Stegostoma tigrinum: one gene and its partner. The protein of the gene in region 2 interacts with the protein of the main gene of each other region in a pairwise test. Links are inferred from orthologs where the notes say so. Each region holds a gene or a part of one and is shown on either strand. Other genes may lie near its edges. The genes, in order: RNA-binding Raly-like protein and rbm41.

What was found.
Region 1: the proteins of rbm41 (region 2) and RNA-binding Raly-like protein interact in binary tests that used the Homo sapiens proteins (3 or more experiments, as listed by UniProt). The two-hybrid records come from large-scale screens. The link is inferred for Stegostoma tigrinum from reciprocal best matches to the Homo sapiens genes RBM41 and RALYL.

Annotation. Positions count from the first base shown.
Region 1 is NC_081358.1:84,350,622-84,361,895, reverse strand, and holds the start of RNA-binding Raly-like protein, read right to left. Parts: upstream 5,532-11,274; 5' UTR 5,383-5,531; intron 4,404-5,382; exon of another isoform or gene 4,318-4,403; intron 2,870-4,317; exon of another isoform or gene 871-2,869; intron 1-870.
Region 2 is NC_081368.1:42,184,529-42,196,376, forward strand, and holds the start of rbm41 (RNA-binding protein 41), read left to right. Parts: upstream 1-5,881; 5' UTR 5,882-5,957; coding exon 5,958-5,965; intron 5,966-8,971; coding exon 8,972-9,091; intron 9,092-11,848. Other genes in the region: cytochrome c oxidase assembly protein COX11, mitochondrial, read right to left, coding at 2,863-3,177. UniProt on the Homo sapiens protein: May bind RNA.

The DNA of each region.
Region 1 (11,274 bases), on a different chromosome or scaffold from region 2:
TTAGAGATATTTTAATCAACCTGTTCAGACATATTATGGTACACCTCTGCAACAAGTAAGGCTTGAACCGGAGCCTGCTAGCTGAGGTTCAGACACTACCACTGCGCCACAATAGTAACATCTTACATTGATATTTTCTGATCAACTTGTCCTGAGATGTTATGACATACCTTTGGAGCAGATGGATTATGAACCTAGACCTGCTGGCTCAGCGGTAGGGACACTACCAATGTCACGAGTGGCTTGCCTTTTTTTCCCCCCTTTTAACAGCTTTTTCTATCACCAAATCACCTCCGGCAATTTTCACCTAATAACGGCTTACTTCTTTTCTACCTAGCTATTCTTTAGTGTCCCCTACCCGACCACAAAAACTAAATTCTACCTTAAAATTAACTGGAGAGTTTAAAACGTAAATTTTTTTATAAAGCCTAACATCCCAAATGTTTCTCTGGGAGGTGAGACACAGACAATCCATCCACCATCAGCACAGTTGTTCTGGTCATCATTTATAAATATCTTGTACCTTCTTCCCAGTAAAACAAAATAAATCATCTCGGCTTACTATGAACAGAGATGAGAATAGGTCACAAAAACAAAGTTGCTACAAAAGTTCAGCAGTTCTGGCAGCATCTGTGAAGGATCGATCACTGGACCTGAAACGTTAATTGTTTTTTTCCGTCACAGACGTTGCCAGACCTGCTAAGCTTTTCCAGTAACTTTGTTTTTTTGTTCCTGATTTACAGCATCCACAGTTCTTTCGGTTTTTACTGAGAATAGGTCACAACTCTTTCATTTCTCTATCTTCTCCAAAATTTTGAACTGTCCCAAAACTTTTAAACTTTGTATTTATAACAAAATTAATCTTCTTACCTTTCTCGTACAATGTTCTTTCTAGCAGCCAACTTTTGAAATTGGACAAGTCTCCTTATACCTCATGATGAAACAGAAGTTTCTTTGAACTAAAAGCTCTGCAGTAATGCTGAAATACAAGTGAGAGCCAGTTGCGTGCATTTTCACATCTTCATCTGCATTCTGATGTAAAATCCTGTCACTCAACAATCCACCTGGGACCATATTAGTCTTTTCACTACAAAAACTGAATCCTTTTCCAAGTGTTGCCACATTTATCACTGTTCTCAGCATGCCTCAGTCACCTTCAGAACAACTGCTATCTGGTCTGACAGCCTAACAAGATTGTTCTGTCTGGAGCAGCTCTGCCTCTGGTTACCTGTTATCTATACAACTCAAGTGGCTATCCCTTGCCTCTGTTTCCTGTTAATCCTTGTCAAATACACTGCAGCTTCCTCTGACCTTATCACAGATTAGTGTTAGCCATTCATGGTTCACTGGCATATCAATTAGGTTTAATAATACCAATGTCTATTCATAAATCCAAGTCATTACAGTTTTAGATTTTTTTTACTGGCAAGTCCAAAGTAAAGTTATGTTCTTCAATCATAAATTTGTCTTCACCAGTAATGAAAAATGTATGATAGTAAATTTTCTCATCCACTGGTTTAAAATGACTTATAATTTAATATTCTACATCCTGTATACCCGAGACTAGTATTATCCTCAATGATTCTCAGCCAAACACAGAGGCACTATTCTGCTTGAAATTCTTCAGCTTAATTCATACCCTACTAAATCATTTGAGAGATTAGCTCTATTCTTCATTCTTCTCACTTCCATGTTTCTAGATAGAGAGGGAATGTGATCTTCATGCTTCATAGTGAATTATCTTAAGTCATAATCAAACAATGCTGTCGACTTTAGCTAACATTTTTTTTCCCATTTGTATCATAATCTTGATCTCAAAGTTCATCATATCAACACTTTACCAACAGCTTTAAAATATATTTTCTGAATATATTTTTAGGACTGTGGTAAGGCAAGCATTCTTCAGCAGTTGCCATCCATGTAGGGTTAAGAATACCTCCATTATTGAAAGGCAAATCAAATCAAGAATACTGACGTAACAGTGAAGGGATGATAACAGAGCTTAAAAATCGGTATACTGCACAATTTGCAAGTGACACAAACAAAATATTGCAGATGCTACAGTCTGAAGTTTAAAAAAAAAGTGCTGTAAAATCTCAGCAAGTCTGGCATCATCTGTGCAGAGAGCAAAAATAGTTAACATTTTCAGTCCAAACTGACTTTTCTTCGTAACTGTTCTGAGGAAGAGTATTTTTGAACTCTAAACAGGAGAACTGTTTCTCCACAGACGCTGTAAGTTGTGTTACGTTTCTCAGCATTTTCTACTTTTTGCTGCCCTTCGTCTAAATGGATGTCTTGCCTTTAGAAGATACTGTTGAAGCAGTCTTGCTGAGTTGCTGTAATGCACTTTTTAGATGGTCCACACTGCATTCACTGTGCAGAGTGGTGGAAGTGGTGAATGCTTAAGAGCGGCAATTAATCAGACCTTCATTGTGTCCAGAGTTGCTGCAGCCACGTGCATCCAGGCAAGTGGAATGAGTTGTTGTTCACCATAGTATTCCCGGACTCTGATCTACTCTTTGTAGTCACAGTATTTATATTACCGGTCTAGTTAACCAGCTGGCCAATGGTGGTCAAGGATTCAGCAATGCTAATACCACTGAATATGAAGGAGAAAAGGTTTGCTTTTGTCCATTCTTTTAAACTGAATGTTTAATCACAACAGCAGACTATAGAGAAACTAATTCATTCTTGAGCAATTTTTCCCTCTCAGCTATGTTTATTCATCTTGATTATCATCAAGTACTTTGGAAGATTTTTATAGCTTATCCCACATCATACGGCTCTTCAAACACCATCCCACAGAAAATCAGTCCGTCTTTGTGAACCTGACCTCTCAGTCCGTTAGCATTTAGATCCCGAAGGACGACTTTTTTAAAAGAAAAGAAAGTGCATTATTTTACATTCTAGAAATATGTCATATTAAATGTGTTGAATATCTAAAGCTAGCTTTATGTTCCTCAAATCTTAGGACTGGAAATTCAGTGTTAATTAAGGTATTTACATGAAGGAAAATAAAGTGTTCATATTTCACCAGCTTTAGCCTTGCTTAAAAGGGGAATATTTAACCAAATCTTGCCATTGAATTTAACAACTTAACTGTGTGTCACTTTGTTTACTGCATTGATAACAGCTACTGCAAACAACCAATATAGCATTCACGTGGTCAGTGTTAACACTATAATAACAGCACCTTAGTTTCTGTGTGACATTACTAATGGCAATTACTATATGTACCTACACTTCATCTTCAGGCATGAAGATTGGTGGCTTCTGATGAATAGTCAAGAATTGGCATGATACTGTGCCGCGTGAAAACATTCAGCAGCATCAATATACTACAAATGGAATAACTTGACCACACTGAACTGTTTCAAACCTTTGGAGATCAATTGGAAACTCAACAACAATGCTGAAATTCACCAAAGGAATTTTATCTTCCAAGTAAGATCACATTCTGCAAAAACCAATTTAGCCTGGCTGATTCAAAAGGCTTATTTTTACTGTTGTGAATTCCATAACTATCTTTACAACAGTAAACAAACATAAGCCAGCAGGTGTTTTGATTTTTTTAGACACGTTGTGGAACAATCTTTTTAACAACTAGACAATACCGAACGCTGTTTAGAATGACTGCAGTACGGTTAAATCTTGGTTTGCAAATCCTGTGGTAACTAATGTGAACCTTTTGCTCGAGCAGTGCACAGAAGCGGCGTAAACGGCTTATGAACCAGCAAAACGAGAGCTAACTGAAGCTAACAGCCCTTTTTTGTGCTGTGTCGGGGGTGGGACGTCGTGAAAGATAAACTACATCTGAATAGTAAATCTTCTCGGTAGTGTCTGCAGAAAGCAAAAAAGGTGCCAGGCCATTCTTCATATCGATAGGTGTAACCGGGTCAAATCCCTGTAACGTTATCTTTTAAATCTTATTAGATTTTTTTCCTACCTGGTCAATGAAAATCTGACGTTGAAGGTTTGACTGAAATTATAAATTCGCGCCAAATAGGAATGCTCAGCTATCGCTTTGTTTAGAAAATGTTGAAACTTTCTAAACTTCTGCAATATCAAACGGGCTTGTTATCCCTTCGACTGGCACATTCCTTTCCGTACAAGGACTGAATTTTAGACAAGAATACTCCCGGCCACGTTATTTTACGAAAACACACCGAACGGTACTGTTTTCAATGAAATCACTGGTGATTTAAAAAAAGGGGAGAACGTGCAATTCTACTATATGACAAGCGGAATGCACATATAAGTAATGTCAAACATTGCAATGCATGCTGTCGCCTGAGGCATCAGACCACCTTTACTTACGTTGTAGTAGCACTGTTAGAAACATGATGCACTGATTTTCCATCACTGCTCCCAGAAGCTCTTCATCGGAAAGCATTAAGTTTTCACTGAAGCAATTTAATGAAATCATAGTAATATTCGGCAATATCGCAAAAAGGATTCTACGTATCAGGCAAATCAGACATAACACACGCTCTACAGTGCAATGGACCTGTTAGGCAGACTAGTCACTGAAGAAAACATTAAATAAAACACACGTTATTTACTTTATCAATATTTTATTCCCAGCTTTTCTGATGACATTTGTTATTGGCCCTGAAGTAAGTACCTTTGCTGATGTGTCGACGTGCCTTCTGTAAACAGTATAAACAATAACGTACTTCATTTGCCCCTCAAGAACTTCCACAGCCATCCACAACTTTTTTTTGGGGGGGGAATTAATTGTTTTTAAAAATCCAACAACTGGAAAACAGATCTGTTCTTTTGTTTTAAAAAAAAACCGCAACCGTCTGAAATAAAGTACACCTTTAGGAAAATTATTTCAAGAAAAAAAGCAACAAGCTGAGAGAAAAGTTTCCTGTTTTCGAAAAAAATTGCGTTGTAGGAAAGTCTGCAAAACACTTTTGCTGTTGTCGACAAATAAAACTTGCTTCAAATCGTGCTTTTGGTAGCTTGTCACTTCAGCTCAACCAAGCGAAGCACACAAATTGTGTTAATACCGGCATGGAAAAATACACCAATAAAGCTTTGCAAATAGAATCAACACAATAGGAGTCTTTTCTTGAGAGAAAAATACTACCGCTATGCATGCGTATTGAAAAAAAAACTCGGGGGGCTGGCAACAGTAACAAAAAAAATTACAAAATATACACAGTTCCTTTTTTTTGCCAACGCCGTCACTGACTTAACACTATACAGCATGCAAGAACTTATTCCGCAAAATAGATTTTATAAACCATGCTTCATCGGCACAATTTCTTTCGATCTTTGTCTTTTTCTTTTTTAAAAAAAAATGTAGTTAAAAAGGAATGAAAATGACAAAAAAAAAGCACTGAAAAATTTCAGATAGTAAAAAAACCTACTCACCGAGCGGGAAAAATTCAAGAGAGAGAAAAATACTGAAGTTTGTAATATGGCGGTGGAAGGAGTAATGAAGCGCCCTCAGCCTCAGGCAAAGGCACGTGATCCGAGAGAGCCTGCTCCCAGCAATGCCCAAAGGCTGTCAGAGGCACAAATCCAACCCCAGTCTCCCCCAACCTCCCTCCCCCCGCAACCTCCTCCACCCAAGATCAAAGGCCGACCCGACTCGTCTGCCTCCAGCGCGAGCCCGCACCCCGGCGTTTTACACCCCGCTCCTCTCCCTCACCGCCGAGCGGCTGCAATTGGCATGTTCCCCCTTTGAAAGCGAGCGGCGCATCCCTGAAAAACAAAATCATATGGTGCAGTCCGCTTGGGTTACCGGGAGACTGTCGGGTTTGGAGACAGGGACGGTGTGAGGGTGGGAGCGCTGACAGTGTCGAGAGGGGGTGGTAGTGTAGAAAGCCGGGTGATGAGGGCTGGGAGCCCCAGTGACGGATGCTGCAACCTTTTGCGAATACCTGCGAGAGATGATCATTTTTATTGGACCGTCCACCTTACTCAGGGACAGGCATTTTGTTTTACTTGGTGGGAGTGTTACAAAATCAGTCACCTATTTTACTTCCCCCCTCTCTCTCTGAAAACAAAATCTTACTTGTGGGCGGCTTATTTACTTATTAACGCAGTTTTGGTCGAAAGCTCGGACTGCCAGCCTTTCTTTGGGAATAATTAGTTGTAAGCGGATGTTGTTGGGCAGGAGAAACAAGTGGCGACATTGTCTGGCAGTGTGTACGCGGACGTGAAGCAAATGGACTGTGTTTTCATTTTTAAAAATTCTTGTTGATCGGATTTTAATATATTAAACATAGTACGTTTCACACTGCCCACCTTCTTATACGTTTCTGGTGGACGACAGCCGGAATATGGCACACGTAAGGCAACAGAAAACAACAACACTTTTACCAAAGAAGGACAATTAAAACATTAAAAAATAATCTCAAGCAGTTTTCTCCTGAAATCAAAGAAAACTTTTACAAGTCACAACAGCATACGGTTAAAACTATTAGAAATCTGCCTTGCTCCGACCTACCTTTGAAATAGCATCGTAATTATACCGCAACATTACACACAGAACAAGAATTCGTCATTTAAAACAACGTGAAAGTATCATACAGGAGGTCAGAAAGCCACTGGTTTTATCAGCTTTCCTGTAGTCTCGTCATGAAAAAAAAACCAAAGATACTAACTAGATTCCGGATATGAAGGCAATGGCATGATTCTCACCATTTTCCCTCCATAACAGATGTACATATATGTACTGTCCTTGGCTTTGTCATCTCCACTATATATAAGAATGCCTTACACTGTTTGGTATATATGTATAAACCGATCGAGTTAGGCATAATCTTCCCCAATCTTTTAATGTGTTTTTATCCTTCATGCATTTCCTACTTTCTCCAGTTACATTCACTTTTGGATGATTGATCATACAGTACTGAATGACTTGAAACAAACTGGCCTCGGTGTATTTTAATCACTAAGGCGGACATTTAAGTCAAAGTAACTCAACTATTTGCAGGCAATGAGAATTCTGATCACAGACACGAATGAAAAAAAATGCTCTACATGTGCCTTTATTACTGGAGAGACTGCGTAAAAAATATTACGACTTATAAAGTACCGTCAGTGAGAATGACTATTGGTTTTATCGCTTCAAGTCGACCTTCCGTGGCGCTGCAGAGAGTGAAAACCTACAACTATCACTACCTGAGGTGGATTGCGACAGCCTGGTAAATTCTACCAGGATGCAAAGACGTAATTGGATCTTATATTTAACATTTCCAACATAAATTATAATTTATTTAAATTTGAAAATGTCCATTGTAAATACGCCACAGTATAAATCAGCCTTTTTGCACGTGGTCAATGTAATGCCTCAACTGGTGGGGTAGGGTAATTACAGCGTGACAAGTTTACAAAAGCCCTTTTGTATTAAAATATTCAATGGAGAAATTAGTAATAAAAAATGTTGGTATAACCCGTTTGCAAATTTTTGATTTATAAAAAAACGCAGGTTTTGATAGCAAACATTTGCATACTTCGCACATATCGTACGTTTTTAATTCAACAAACGCCCACTATCTCCAATAAATGAATTGTATTGGTTTGTTGCGTATTGAAATACAGTGGCAAAGCTTTCAATGTTTGAAATACACTTTATTTCCGATAAGCTAATTGAGGTACTTAGACCAGAGCTTCTTCAAGTGGGTCGTGAGCTGATCTATTTTGATGTCCTGAAATTCAAAGCAGTAATGGCCACCTCAGAACTCCAACCATTAATTACAATTATCCAGCCACCTTCCCACTCAAATGCATTTCATTGCGGGGTCGTGACCATTTTCAAGTGGGGTCACAAGGGGGATGCATTTGAAAAGTACTGACAGAGGAAATAGTCAATACAAATAATAAAACAGATATTGGTGATCATATTTGCAAGTATCACAGAGTAATATTCTGTTTTTACATGATACATTGTTGATGGAAAGTACTTGATGGGCATGTTGCCCTCATCAGTAGCTTTTTTTCAAGAGATCACAACTATAATTAGCTAGTTTAAGGATGTTCATAATCCTTACAAATAGTATCTTTTGCCTTTCCCGTGCCTACTAGCACTACAGAGAAGGTAAATGTCATGGAGTGATACAGCACGCAAACAGACTCTGGTCCAACCAGTCTATGCTGAACATAATACTAAACTAAACGAAAGCTACCTGCCTACTCCTGGCCCATGTCCCTCCAAACCTTTGCTATTCATGCAGCCATCCAAATGTCTTTTAAACATTGTAATTGTACCTGCATCCACCACTTTGTCAGGAAGTTCATTCCACACTCAAACCACGCACTTTATAAAAACTGTGCCTCTTATGTCTTTTTTTAACATCTCTGTCCTCTTACTTTAAAAATGTACCCCTCTGTCTTGAAATTCCCCATCCTAGGGAAAAGACAATTACCATTAACTCTATCTTTACCTCTCATTATTTCATAAATTCCTATAAACTACTTTCCTGGAAAACACTTCAATTTTTCAGTTAAGAATAGTGCATTCTGGTTAATTTCAATGTTTTAAAATTTCACCATTGTCCAACTTTTAACTGAGGGAAGGAAAATTAGTCAGTTTATCTTGCTAAATTTTCTGATGATACAAATAGGTTAGAGAAGTAAGTTACAAAGAAGACGTAACAATGTTACAAAGGAACATAGTGAGTGAGCAAAGAGTTGGCAAGTGAAGTATAATTTGTGAGAAATATTGTCCATTTTTCACAGACATACGTAGATCTATGGGGTGAATTCACATTTGCAGATTTGTAATTGCAGATACATTCTATTTTGTTCAAAAAGCACATAATTTGTTGACAGTCAATGTAGCATTTTATAAATTCCTACTTTGGAAATAAAACCAGTTTGACTCCAAGTTAAAGCACAGACAGATTCTAAACAAGGCTTCACACCTAAAATGCATTGTCTAACCTGAGATATCACCTCAGTAATACTGATAAAACCTTTAGGTATCTCGAGGCAGTGACTTGAAAGAAATTCTGGGATTTGCACATTAATCAGTCAAAACCTGCATCACCTTTTGAACTAATTAAAGATTTAATGGCCATCTTAGGTTTGTTCAATGCATTCACATCAGTTCTATGACCCTTTGATCTTTTGCTTCTAAATTCTGCATCTGATGCCACCTCTCTTGCTAACATCTGAATAAGGAAAAAGACTCTGAAAGCTTGTGTTTTCAAATAAATCATTGGACTATAACCCAGTGTCATGTGATTTTTGAGCTAATGAAAAATGACAGGATTGATATTGCAGCTTTAAAAGTGAGGCTAAAGGACAGAGAGACCCCCAGATTGAAATGGGTGGGTAGCAGCTGTCAGCCATCTGATTGCTTTATGAAGCATAGAGCAAGTAGATGCTCTTGTGATACAGTGTTAGCGTCCCTATCCCCGCACCAGGAGAGCCTGGGTTCAAGCCCCGCCTACTCCAGAGGTGTGTAATAGTATTCCTGAGCAGGTCAATGGGGAAAATATACATAAGAAAAATGGAGCATGCTTTTAGAAACTAATAGAAATACTGGAAAATGACATTTGGAACTTGAATATACATTTCAGAAAAAAGGCATAAAATATGTTGCTATTTCTGCATATATGTTTTGTTGGTTTATTATTAGTGTTGTTGTTTATGAATTTATTTTAAATGAATAGAAAAGGAATCTGTTAATATCAAGTAGGGTCTAGCAGGAGTTGATGAGGCCAAGTGGAACTAGGAAACAAGCGATGATTCTGTGTTTATGAAGGGGCAATTGGATGAGAACATGACTGCATGTAATGTATATGTGCTGGGAATTTTGTGATATATGAGCTAGAATAAAACTCTGACCAGAAAAGTATATGCTTAACTCAGCATTCAAACTCTGATATTTAACAATGACAGTGCATACCATCACCTCTTTCTGTAACAGTGGACAGCTAAGCTTGTGCTCCTTTCCCCTTTGTGAAGGGAACATTTTGTAAAACTCATGTTTGCTTCCTTGCTACTGTATTGACCTGGAGATGAACTTCTAACAGCATATTTACACTATTACCAAACCACCTATTTTCACTTCTGTAGCATCATCCACTTTGACTCTGCCTTAGCTTGTCTGTTGCACAAACCCTCATGCCTTTATAGCCCTAGACTTGGTCAATCCAACATACTCTCACATTCTAGCCTCCAGAACCTTATGGTTATCCAAACGTCTGCAGCTCATGTCTTACCTCGTACCTTGTCTTACTCTCTTATTTCTATTGTGGTTCCTGAGGCTAAATTGGCTGCTGATCAAGTGAGATGTTGGATCACAGGATTCCTGCAGTTTGGAAATAGGCTCTTCAGACCAACAGGTCCACATCAACCCTCAAAGCATCCCACCCAGACCCATCCCCCTACCCTTTCCCCGCAACCCATCTAACGTACACATCCCTGAACACCTCAGGCAATTTAGCATGGCCAATCCACCTAACCTGCATATCTTTGGACTTTGGGAGGAAACCAGACCTGATAGAAACCTATGCAGACATGGAGAGAATGTGCAAACTCCACGCAGAAAGTTGTCCAAGAGTGGGATCGAACCCCAGTCACTGAGAGACAGCAGTGCTAACCACTAAGTCACCATGCTGCCATTGATTTCAAAATATTTCACATTTTTCAATGACCTCATCTCTCCCCATCAGTGCAACTTCCTTCACATTGAAAAACCACTGAAATTTCTGTGCTCATCCAATTCTGGCCTCTAGGCTATCTCTGATTTTAATCCCTCCCATGTTGGTGGTCATACCTTCAGTTGCTTGGTCTTTAAGTTCCACAATTCCCTCTCTACTGCTGTGCTTTCCCTTTAAGTCAATTTTAAAAATACATCTCTTTAACTAAGATTTTGGTCATCTGATCAAATATCTCCAGTTGGACCCAATGCCTAATTTCACTTTATAACTTTGATGAAGTATTTAGAGACATTTGAATTTGTTTGGGGGTGTACTGTAAATATAAAGGTACTACTGTCAATGTAACAAAGTCAGTCAGTAATACTGACATTTTATTAGATCTGCAATAAATTAAACTTTTAAAGGGACATTTCAGACACAGAAAATTTTAGCTAAACATTAAGATATTTTTCCTGGAGTTTGCAGCTGCTAAAATTTTCATTTTTAAATGGAATGGATTGCCTGTAAGTTCAGAGTTAGTAGACTCCAACTTTGGCATGCTGAGTAACTGAAGAAACTTCCTAACAACAATAAAAATGTTGACTGTTCCAAAATAAAGGTTTATACTGTGAGCTGTAGCGCGTTTAGTTTTCCTACAGAACAACAG
Region 2 (11,848 bases):
CCTATTGAAGTACCCATCCGGATGCCTTTTAAATCTTGTAATTGTACCAGCCTCCACCACTTCCTCTGGCAACTCGCTCCAGACAGACACGACTCTCTGTGTGAAAAAGCTGCCCCTTAGGTCCCTTTTAAATCTTTCCCCTTTCACCTTAAACCTATGCCCTTTAGTTGTGAAAAACTCTAACCTGGCAGTAAGACCTTGGCTATTCATCCTATCCATGCCCCTCATGATTTTATAAACCTCTATAAACCCCTCAGCCTCCGAAGCTCGAGGAAAAATAGCCCCAGCCTATTCAGCCTCTTCCTGTAGCTCAAACGCTCCAGCCCAGCATCATCCTTGTAAGTACTTTCTGCATTCTTTCAAGTTTAACATCTAATTTCCCTGCTGTAGATAAAAATTGAATGCAGAATTCCAAAATTGACCTATCCAATGTGCTGTGCAACCGCAACATGGCATTCCAATTCCTACACTCAATGCATTGGCCAAGAAAGGCAAGGGTACCAAAGGCCTTCTATACTACTCTGTTGATCTGTGATGGCACTTTCGTGGAATTATGAACCTGCAACCCAAGGTCTCTATTCGGCAACACTCCCCAGGACCCTACCATTTAAGTCCTGCCCTGATGTGCCTAAACAAATTGCAGCACTTCACATTTATCTAAATTAAACTCCATCAACCACTCCTCCGATCAAGGTCACGTTGCACTACACCACCAATTTTGGTGTCACAGCAAACTTGCTAACCATACCACTTATATTCACATCCAAATCATTCATATAAATGGCAAAAAGCAGTGGAGCCAGCACCAAACCTTGCGGCATATTGCTGGTCACAGGCCTCCAGTCCGACCAACAGCACTCCACCAACATCCTGTCTTCTACCTTCAGGCCAATTTTGTATCCAAATGGCTAGTTCTCCCTGGATTCCATGCGATCTAACCTTGCTAATCAGTCTACCATGTGGAACCTTATAGAATGCCTTGTTGAAGTCCATATAGACAAGTCCACTGATCTGCCTTCATCAATCCTCTTTGTCACTTTCTCAAAAAAGAAATCACTCAAGTTACCCATGGAATCATGCCTTAAAGACAATTTCCCAAACACCACCATCACCATCCCTGGATATTTTCTGTCCTACCGGCAGTGCAGGGCCAGTAGAGGTGGAGGCACAGTGGTATACAGTTGGGAGAGATTTGCCCTGGAGTCCTCAACATTGACTCCGGACCTACGAAGTCGCATGGGCAAGGAAATCCCTTGCTGATTATGACGTACTGTCCTACCTCAACTGATAACTCTGTACTCATCCATGTTGAATAACACTTGGAAGAGGCAATGAAGGTGGCAAGGGTGCAAAACATGCTGTAGGTAAGAGATTTCAGTGTCCACCACCAACACTAGCTGAACAACAGGCCTGCTAATTGAGTTGGTTAAGTCCTAAAGGACACAGCTATTACAGTGGTTCCGTCACTGCCCACCACGGACTCAACAAGAGGGAAAAACATACTTGGCCTCAAGCTTACCAATCTGTCCATGGCAGTATCGACAAGAGTGGCAACTGTACAGTCCTTGTGGAGCTGAAGTCCTGTCTTCACATTGAGAATACTCTCTATTGTGTTGTGTCACACCATCACTGTTTAGTTCAACACATTTTGAAACATCAAATGGATCTAGCAACTCACAACTTGGCATCCATGGAGATGCTGTGGGTCATCAATAGCAGCAGAATCCAGCACAATTTGCAATCCCATGGCCTGGGAAATTCCCCACTAATTCCCCATTACCATCAGGTAAAGCGATCAACATTGCTTCAAATGGAGAGTACAGGAGCACATGCCAGGTGCAGCACCAGGCATACCTAAAAATGAGGCATCAACTAAGTGAAGCTACCAAACAGGACCACTTGCATGTCAAACAACATAAACAGCAAGCAATAACAGCTAAGTGATCCCTAACCAATGAATCAGATCTAAGCTCTGTAGTCCTGCCACATCCAGTTGGGAATGCTGATGGACATTGAAACAACTCACTGGACAACTGGAAGTACTCAATACATCAAAGGATGTGGGCCCTGACAATATTCCAGCAAAAGTATTGAAGAGTTACCACTGACCAGAAACTGGACTTGCCAGATAAACAGTGACTACAAGAGAAGGTCAGAGCCGCGGAATACTGCAGTGAGTAACTCACCTCCTGACTCCCTAAAGCCTGTCCACTATCTACAAGGCATAAGACAGGATGGAATACTCTCCACTTGCTTGGATGGATGCAGATCCAATAACGCTTAAGAAGCTTGACAACATCCAGGGCAAAGCAGACTGTTTGACTGGCACCACAAAGACAAGCATCCGTTCTGTCCAATACCGATGCTCAGTAACAGTTAGCAGCATGTACTGTTTGCAAAATGCACTGCAGAAATTCACCAAAGATCCTTGAAAAGCAGCTTTCAAACTCAAAACCATTACCTCCTAGAAGGACAAGGGCAGCAGACACAAGTTCAAAGTCACTCAACCATCCTGACTTGGAAATATATCATCATTCAGTCACTGCCGCTGGTCAAAATCCTGGAATTCCATCCCTAAGGATATTGTGGTCAACCTATAGCAGGTGGATTGTAGTAGTTCAAGAAGGCAGTTCATCACCACCTCCTCAATGACAACTAGGGATAGGTAGTAAATTCTAGTCAGCCAGCAGAACCCATGTCTCATGAGTGAATTAAATTTAAAGAAAAACAACTTTGCGGTGTGAAAAACAAGTAATTTGCACTTTACATTTGGCTTGTTTAAACAGATTTCTTTTTACATTTGTTAATGTCTGCTTATTCCGGGAACTTGGGCATTAGGGTCAAACAGAAGATTATACTGACCTGACAATAAAGTCTGTAGAGAGGTACAGCCGCATATGACATGCCAATCATTCCAACTGCTGTTGCTGCTATATACGTGAGTACGGTTTTATTCTTCTTCTTCCATGCTTCCTCCTGGCTCCGAGTGAAGGGATTATGGTTCTTGATACCATGCACCGGCTGTTTCAAAGTCAGATAACTTGGCCTCCAAGGAGTATACCGAATAAATACTGAATACAGTCTTTGTGAGTTAGACTGTTGTAGTCTTCGTGCACAGATATGACAAGAAGACATGACATACAATCTTGAGATTCTTGTCCAACAGAACAAAGTCATGCTGATTATTAGTCAGATTGCTGTGTTAATGTGTAATCTTTACTTCTTTAGTGTAAATGGCAAATAGCAGTCTTCCTGCAATATCTGGAAATCAAAACCAAACTGTTATCACATTTCCCTTTATTAGTGAACACATCACACATGAATCATAGCCTACAGTAAGGGATTATGTTCTTTTAGGGCCCAAAAATTTGTTCAATGTGGCATGCGTTAAGTTGGATGAAATGTTTTCCCCTAAAACAAACCTTATGAATTGAAACCGTAAGGCGATAATATTGGGTATTGCATAAATCTACAAATTATTTGTGCAAGGTTAATAAAATCTTAGAATGAGTTAAACAAATGCATAGAAAAAAGAAAGGAATTTAGATGAATGTTTAGATCTAAGTTGTGAGAAATATTAACTCTGCTTTTTACCAACAGATGCTGGCAGCCTGCTGAGTTTCTACAGCAATTTATGCTATTGGTACTTGCTTATACATCTGTTTTGTTAACATCAGAATACCGCAAAACACTTTACAGCTAACATAATCATAATAAAGTCTAGGCACTTTTGCTGGGTAGAAAAACCCCACAACCATTCTGTACGTAGCATGCTCCGTAAAGTATAAACAATTGGTTCTCTGGCAGAAAGCAGAAAGCAGAAAGTCAAAAGGATAGCAACTGGTGACAAGTGGCGATCCACAAGGGTCAGTGTTGGGACCACAACTTTTTATTTTTGCATTAATGATCTAAATGAAGGAACTGAGGGCATTCTGGCTAAGTCTGCAGATGATACAAAGATAGGCAGAGGGATGGGTAGTATTGAGGATGTGGAGAGGCAGCAGAAGGATTTGGACAGGTTGAGAGAGTTGGCAAAGAAGTGGCAGATGGAGTACAATGTGGGAAAGTATGAGGTCATGCACTTTGGTAAGAAGAATAGAAGCATGGGCTGCTTTCTAAATGGGAAGAAAATTCAGAAGTCTAAAGTGCAAAGAGACTTGGGAGTTCGAATCCAGGATTCTCTCAAGGTAAACCTGCTGGTTGAGTCAGTAGTTAGGAATGCAAATACAACTTTGGCATTTATTTTGAGAGGACTTGAATACACAAGCAGGGCTGTACTTCTGAGATTCTATAAGGCTCTGGTCAGGCCAAATTTGGAGTATTGTGAACAGTTTTGGGCCCATATCTCAGGAAAGATGTACTCGCCCTGGAGCAGGTTCACAGGAGGTCCGGTAGAATGGTCCCAGGAGTGAAAAGCTTTGCATATGAGCAGCATTTGAGGGCTCTTTACTTAATGGAGTTTAGAAGGACTGGTGGGTGGGGGTGGAGGATCTACATGGAACTCACAAAATACTGAATGGCCTGGACAGTACAGATGTTGGGAAGATGTTTCCATTGGTAGGAGACTAGGACCCGAGGGTACAGCCTTAGAGTAAAGGGGAGACCTTTCAGATCTGAGATCAGGAGAAACTTCTTCAGCCAGAGAGAGTGGTGAATCTAAGGAATTCACTGCCACAGAAGGCTGTGGAGGCCAGGTCATGGAGTATATCTAAGACAGAGATAGATAAGTTCTTGACTGTCAAGGGGATCAAGGATTATGGGCAGAAAGGAGAATGGGGAGGAGAAACTTAATTATCTATTATTGAGTGGTGGAGTAGATTCGATGGGCTGAATAACCTAATTTCTGCTCCTATATCTTATGGTCTTAAAGTGCTGGAGAAGCTCAGTTGGTTTGGGAGCTGTGAGACAGTGTTAACATTACGAGACAGATATGACTTCTTCAGAGAAACTCTTTTAGTAACGTGATACTGGAGAATCTGTTTTTCTGGTGTTAATGAAGGGAGTTAGTATTAATTGAACAGGCTAGGAAGTAAGAACACCCTTCAAGCTTTCCGGGACAAAAAAAACTGCTCTAGAATTGTATACGTTCACTGAGAAAGCTGTTTAACATCTCATCCGAAAATCATGAGGGGCATTACAGTTGTATAGCTGTGATAATGGGAGCTGCAGATGCTGGAGAGTTCAAGATAAAGTGTGGAGCTGGATGAACACAGCAGGCCAAGCAGCATCTCAGGAGCACAAAAGCTGACGTTTCGGGCCTAGACCCTTCAAAAATTGTATAGCTAACCCGGAGATGGGCCTGACTAACTCGATGTCGGAACAAGGAAGAGACGCTCTCATTACCACTTGCAAAGTTCAAGATTTAATAATTTTCCATTTAACAGGGCCAGACAAATGGAAATGACTGTACTTAATATAGCCCAGACAACGAGCACAGCATTGTTATGAATATTCGAAGGCCTGCCCCACGACATTGAGATTCCCAGTGAGAACAACTAATTTACACTAACCCACATTGTCCCGGCCACAAACTCCATTCATTCAACCTCGCAGCTCCTTCTCATCAATCAGACGGAGGGGTTTGATCCCAGGCCCAGGCCCAGGGACACTCAAAATAAGTTACAGCCCCACAACCTCTCTACTACAAGGCCACAACATTACAGACTAATCATACGATCCACTTTAATTCAGTGGGGAAATATATACATCTCCAAAACGAATACCGTGTTCTGATAGTTGATCTTCTCCCACACAAAGCAAAACCTTTTTAACTATACTTCAGTTTCCGGAACAGCTATGAGCAATACTACATTACCCAGAATGCCAATCGATCGTCGCGCATGTGTAAGTGGCTTCAGATCACGTGCAGTCCCCTGCGGCAAATAGGACTGAGGCCGAACGACAATCGGCGCATGCGCGGGGTTGCTATTGTGTGAGTGCGGAGTATTGGAGTGAAGATGCGCAGGTAAATTAGAGAGAATAAGTATTCAGGTTATTACTGGGTTTTTACACATTACGTGCTTATAGTTAATGGGATAGGGGTTTCTGGACGATGAAAACACAGTTATTGATTCCGTTCCTGTCTGATGAAGGTCATTTTCATTGTTGGAAGAAGCCGAGGAACAGAGAGAAATGGCTGCCTATGGGGCTCTTGAAAATAGCCCTAATAGAAAAGAGTCGGAGTTATTACATCACTAACAGTCACATCTAATGCTGTTCAAAATACAAAATGAAACGTTTCGTTTAATGGTAACCTATATATGTAGCGAATAGGAGATAACAAAGTGTGGAGCTGGATGAACACAGCAGGTCAAGCAGCATCTTAGGAGCACAAAAGCTGACGTTTCGGGCCTAGACCCTGTTTATCTCAAGGCGTTACTTTCTTTTGTTTGCTCGGACGAATTCTGATGTCGTGCACTACTATTTGCAGCCAGTTATGATTTACTAAAACCTTCAAGATTTGCCGATTCCCGGTCATACTGAGCAAATGTTTAACACTTGTGCACTTTTATTATCAAAACGCTTTGTCTTCATTCAACCTCGATAATTCTGTTCCAAACATTTTCCAGATTGGTCATTTTAAAATAGTTGATCCTGCTTGTTTCTAGCATCTGGAAAGTAAAATAAGGGAATACGGATTGAGAATCTGTTGTGCTAATGCTCGTCAAACGTCAGGGAAGATGCATCTGTACGTTAAAGGGAGTTCTTTTTATAAGCCTGACAGTGAAAAGAAAGGGGATGGTTAGTTTAGTTGATTCGTTGTTGACGTTTTTCTGAGCCACAGAATGGGATTTTGAAGTGAACTTGGGTCTCTCTCCGTTTGGTCCTGGTCCTTGAAGGAATACAATGGTTAAAACATTACTTAGAAAAACTGCCAGGAAAATGGCACAAGATGAACTATCTGCCGACAGAGACAAAGACCTTCTGTCTTTGTTCAGTGCACTTATGATTGAAAGTGTAAAGACCGTTGTTAGTGTCTTTGTTCTAAAAGTGAAGATAATGTAATTACTGTAGTACCAATTCGTTTAGTGAGTATCCCCACTATATATGTTCCATAAAGCTTATAGCCCAATTCAATCAAACCTGGGACTATTGGCATTGGCTATTATTTGTTGACGAGAGGAGTGAGCTTCAGTTTGGGGAGACGATAAATTATTAATCCAGAAACTCAGCTAATATACTGGGAACAAAGCCTTGAATCCCACCAGGGCAGATAGTAGGTTTGCATTCAATTTTTAAAAAAAATTTGGGATTAGGAAATGTAATGATTCAAGTGCACCTAGGGACAGGTAATAGATGCTGGCCAGCCAACAATGCTCAAGTAAATTTTAAGAAAGATTTCTGAGGAAGGGTCACCAGACTCAAAACATTAACTTTGACTTCTCTTCACAGATGATACCAGACCTGTGGAGCTTTTCCAGCAAAACATCTGTTTATGTTTCTGATTTACAGCATCCACGGTTCTTTGCTTTTTTTTAAAAGCAGGTATCCTGGGAACAGAGAACAAAAATAATCAACCAGAGTTTCCACTTTTCATTTTTGGAGTGATGCCTGATGAGAGCCCTAGTGTATGGCTATTTGCTGAAGATGGAGTAGACTTAGCAAAATGTTTTGTTTCTAATAACTTGCATTTTTAAGAAGGCAATAATAGACACTGCTGTTTCTGAAAGAGCAAATGATAAATAAATGAAGACTATTTGCGAGTAGAATTAGATGAATAAATCACACACAAAAGATACACAATTTATTTAAGCCATTAGAAAAATAGTTTTGCTAAATTTATTAAAAGGATCAATCTAATAAAATAGGGTATTAGTGAAATCACTTCATTCCTCAGGACTGTTGAGAATCTAGGCTCAGTATTCTCAGTCTCACTTTATTGGATAGTCTGCCTATTTTAGGAATGAGTCTGGTGAACCTTTGTTGCAGTCCATCTCTGAAATTTTTTTTTTATTGTAATTAATAGTAATAAATGTAGTCCTGTGTTGCAGCTTCACAAGGTTGATACATAATTTTTAGTTTTGTCCGAATTGTTGTTCCTGGCACGGCCTCCTGCCTTTATGGTAATGGTAGATTAGGAGCTGTGCTGCGTTACAGATTGTGGTTGCAAAAAACTTTGTACTGCTGAAGGCCCATAGCACTTCATGGAGGCCCAGACTTGAGCTGGTAGATCTATTCAAAATCTTTCCCAGGGTGGTACACAACATATAGGACAGTATCCTCAATGTAATCCATAACTTAATATATGACAATGGCTGAAGGTAAGAGCAAGAGAAGTTCCTCGTCAGCCATTTGACGTAAAGGAATTGGGGTCTGTACCACAACTATCCACAGCATGAGTTTCCAATATACATGTACATGTGGACATTACCACATCAGTCTGGACGTCTTGGAAATGCAGACAGGGAGAGAGGTGATAGTTTTAGCCATGTCTGAATCTCATTTCTATCAATAACACTGTGTTCAATCTCACTTCTGCTGTGGATTTGGGTCCTGTTGCCATGCCATCCCTATTGTGATGCTGTTGGTTGGACTAACCTTTGGCAGAGGAGAACTGTTTAAGAAATAATATTAGAACTTATTTCAGAATTCCAGACAGAACTTAATTTTTTGAATGCTAGCTCAAAAGTACAATCGATTGGTCTTATTCACTGAGTTGATTAAAAAGATCTACGTTAGAACAGCTGAGCAGAAAAATCACATTGATTAATGTCAGTCTGACAGATTAAACAGTGAATGTTTAGCATCTCTTGGCTGTCAGTGAAATACATGCATATTTTAACTTGAAAATATTATTAGGAACAAAGGAAATTAAGCCTTTTGTGAAGCTGAAATAAGGATCTCACTGTTCTGGTTCTTATTGCTAACTTCCAGTTTCCAAATTCAAAATTACATATTAATTGTGGCCTTTTTGCATTTTAATCCTGATGTAATGTAAGCAAGACACCTCTTATTCCCTTTTAAAATTTAGGGTTAGTAGTCGTATAAGTGGTGATGATGATGTTGAGCCAGAGGAGCTGGAGACAGAAGGAGAGAGGCAATTGCAAAACCTCTTGAAGCACCAGTTAGACACAAGCGTAACACTTGAAGAGTGAGTATTGGAACATTTCTTCAGTGATGTTTTTGTATGAATAAAACCAAGTAAGAAAGTAATGTTTGTGTACATTTTAATGCATTGTAGTCCTTTCAAAATTATGACAAAATGGAAAATGCTGGAAAACTCAGGTCTGTCGGCATTCAGAGAGAAGACAGAGTGCTTCTTGTTGAATCCCTTTATGCTGATTGATGTTCTATGCAATTCCAGCATTTTCTGTTCTTACTTCGTATTTGCAATTCTGGATTATTTTTTGTTTTTATTTCTACAGGTATTTAAAGGCTTACCTCTTTTTTTTTCCAGTTACCTCCAGGCTGCACAAATAAATCCCAATTTAGAATGAAATCTCAAATAAAGATTCTGTCACATAATTTCATTGTCTTTTTCGAAGGTTTAAATGGTGGAATCACCATAAAGTGGTAATTAATGCATTCAGAATTCCTGTATTATAGCAACTTTCTCAACTTGTGCTGTTAAACAAACAAAATGTTATTTTATTTAGAGGCATTAGTTGCTTTCATTTACCCAATTACACTAATCAATGCAATTTTATAGTTTTTTTCCAAAATGTAAGATTACCAAATCATAACAAAGAACAAAGAAACCTACAGCACAGGAACAGGCCCTTCGGCCCTCCAAGCCTGCACCGATCAAGATCCTCTGTCTAACCTGTCATCTATTTTCTAACGGTCTGTGTCCATTTGCTCCCTGCCCATACATGTATCTGTCCAAATATATCTTAAAAGACGCTAACGTGTCTGCGTCTACCACCTCCGCTGGCAACGCGTTCCAGGCGCCCACCACCCTCTGTGTTTTTATAAAAAAAAATCCATAGGAAGATCTTCCATTCCAGATGGCAGCAACGAAATGTGTGCCATTTCCTGTAGTATGGGCAGAAGTAGCTGGCTCTGTTACCTTTTAACATAGTGAAATAATCTGATTATTTAAATTTGCTTACAAATGCAACAGTGTGGTTACAAGTGGGAGTTCACACATTGATGTTTTCTAAGTGTATCTTTGCTTTGCGGTAAAATGCAAAAATGAAGGGGTTGTGGATTTATGAATCCTGCCTGAAAAGAAATGTGTGTGGCTTGGTTGTCAAAGGTTTAAAGGGAGGCTCAGGATATTACTGGGAAGAAGGTGTAAAACGTGGCAAGGGCATCTATGCTGGCTGTGGGTATTTTGTTAGCTGCAAGTTTCACAAGGATGTTTTCAGAATGAGGTTTTATAAACTCTTGAAATTTAATCTGAATTTAATTTCAAGTTGAAATGGAGTTCAGTGGATCTAAGCAATAACTAATCAAACGAGCCATTTTGCAGCAAACAGCTCAATATAGAACAGAGAACATTACAGTGCAGTGGATGTGAGTTTGCTCGCTGAGCTGGAAGGTTCGTTTTCAGACGTTTCATCACCATTATAGGTAACATCATCAGTGAGCCTCCGGTGAAGCGCTGGTGTTATGTCCCGTTTTCTGTTTATCTGTTTAGGTTTCCTTGGGTTGGTGATGTCATTTTCTGTTCTTGTTCTCAGAGGATGGTAGATAAGCTCCAAATCAATGCGTTTGTTGATGGAGTTCCGATTGGAATGCCATGCTTCCAGGAATTCTTGTGGAAACCCAAGGAAACCTAAACAGATAAATAGAAAGCGGGACATAACACCAGTGCTTCACCGGAGGCTCACTGATGATGATACCTAGAATGGTGACGAAATGTCTGAAAATGAACCTTCCAGCTCAGCGAGCAAACTCGCATCCAGAACCTCAACCTGAGCTACAAATCTTCTCAACACTCGCTAGCACCTATGGGCGCAATACGCTAAAACTGGCCTGAAGATGGGAAACCAATGCCATCTGACAGAGTGCTACCCCTGAACAGCTGTACTTCCCACACGAATGCCTAAAGAAACAGGTACTACCTAAATGTCACAAGTACAAACCTCCCCTTAACACCCCACTAGCCAAAAGAATAGCAGAACAAAACAGGTGCAGAATGCTTAAAAGAAATGATCAACGATGCCCACAACAGACTCCGTAAATACAACTGGGAAATTTCGTGCCAAAAAACTTTACTCACTGACGCGACAGACCATGAATGGACAGACACAGTACAACGAGCCATAGACATTAGACAACGGCAAACACAGAAAACGAGAAAACTAGACCTGTAGAAAAAAACTAGATAAACTCACATACAATAACAACACAGACAATACAGAAGCATGGATAAAAAACTTCAGACCGACCATTAACAGACACTGAAAAAGCCGTCTTAGTAAGAGGATTAAATTACAACTTCCAGGATGCGGACAAGAAAGATTTCTTAGCAGCGTTAGAAACAACACTGAAAGACAACAAATTTACAGAAGAAACCCAGCAAACCATCAGACAGACAGTCGCACCAACATTAAGCAGGAAAAAGGAAGGAAACACACTCTACACAAGAAAGGAAAGCACTAAAAGGACTCAAAAAAGATAAAAACATCGTTATCCTACCTGCAGACAAAGGATGCTCGACAGTCATTTTAAACCGAACAGAATACATTGAGAAAGCGAAGGCACTGCTTGCAGATTCTGACACTTGCCAACAGGTGGCGACAGACCCGACCCCACAACTAGAGAACCGAATCACAGCCTTACTCAAAAAACTTAAAATCTGGAGAATTAAACAAGAGAGACTTCCAAAAAATGAAACCAGATGGATCCAACACAACACGCTTCTACGGACTACCAAAAATTCAGAAACCAGGAGCCCCCC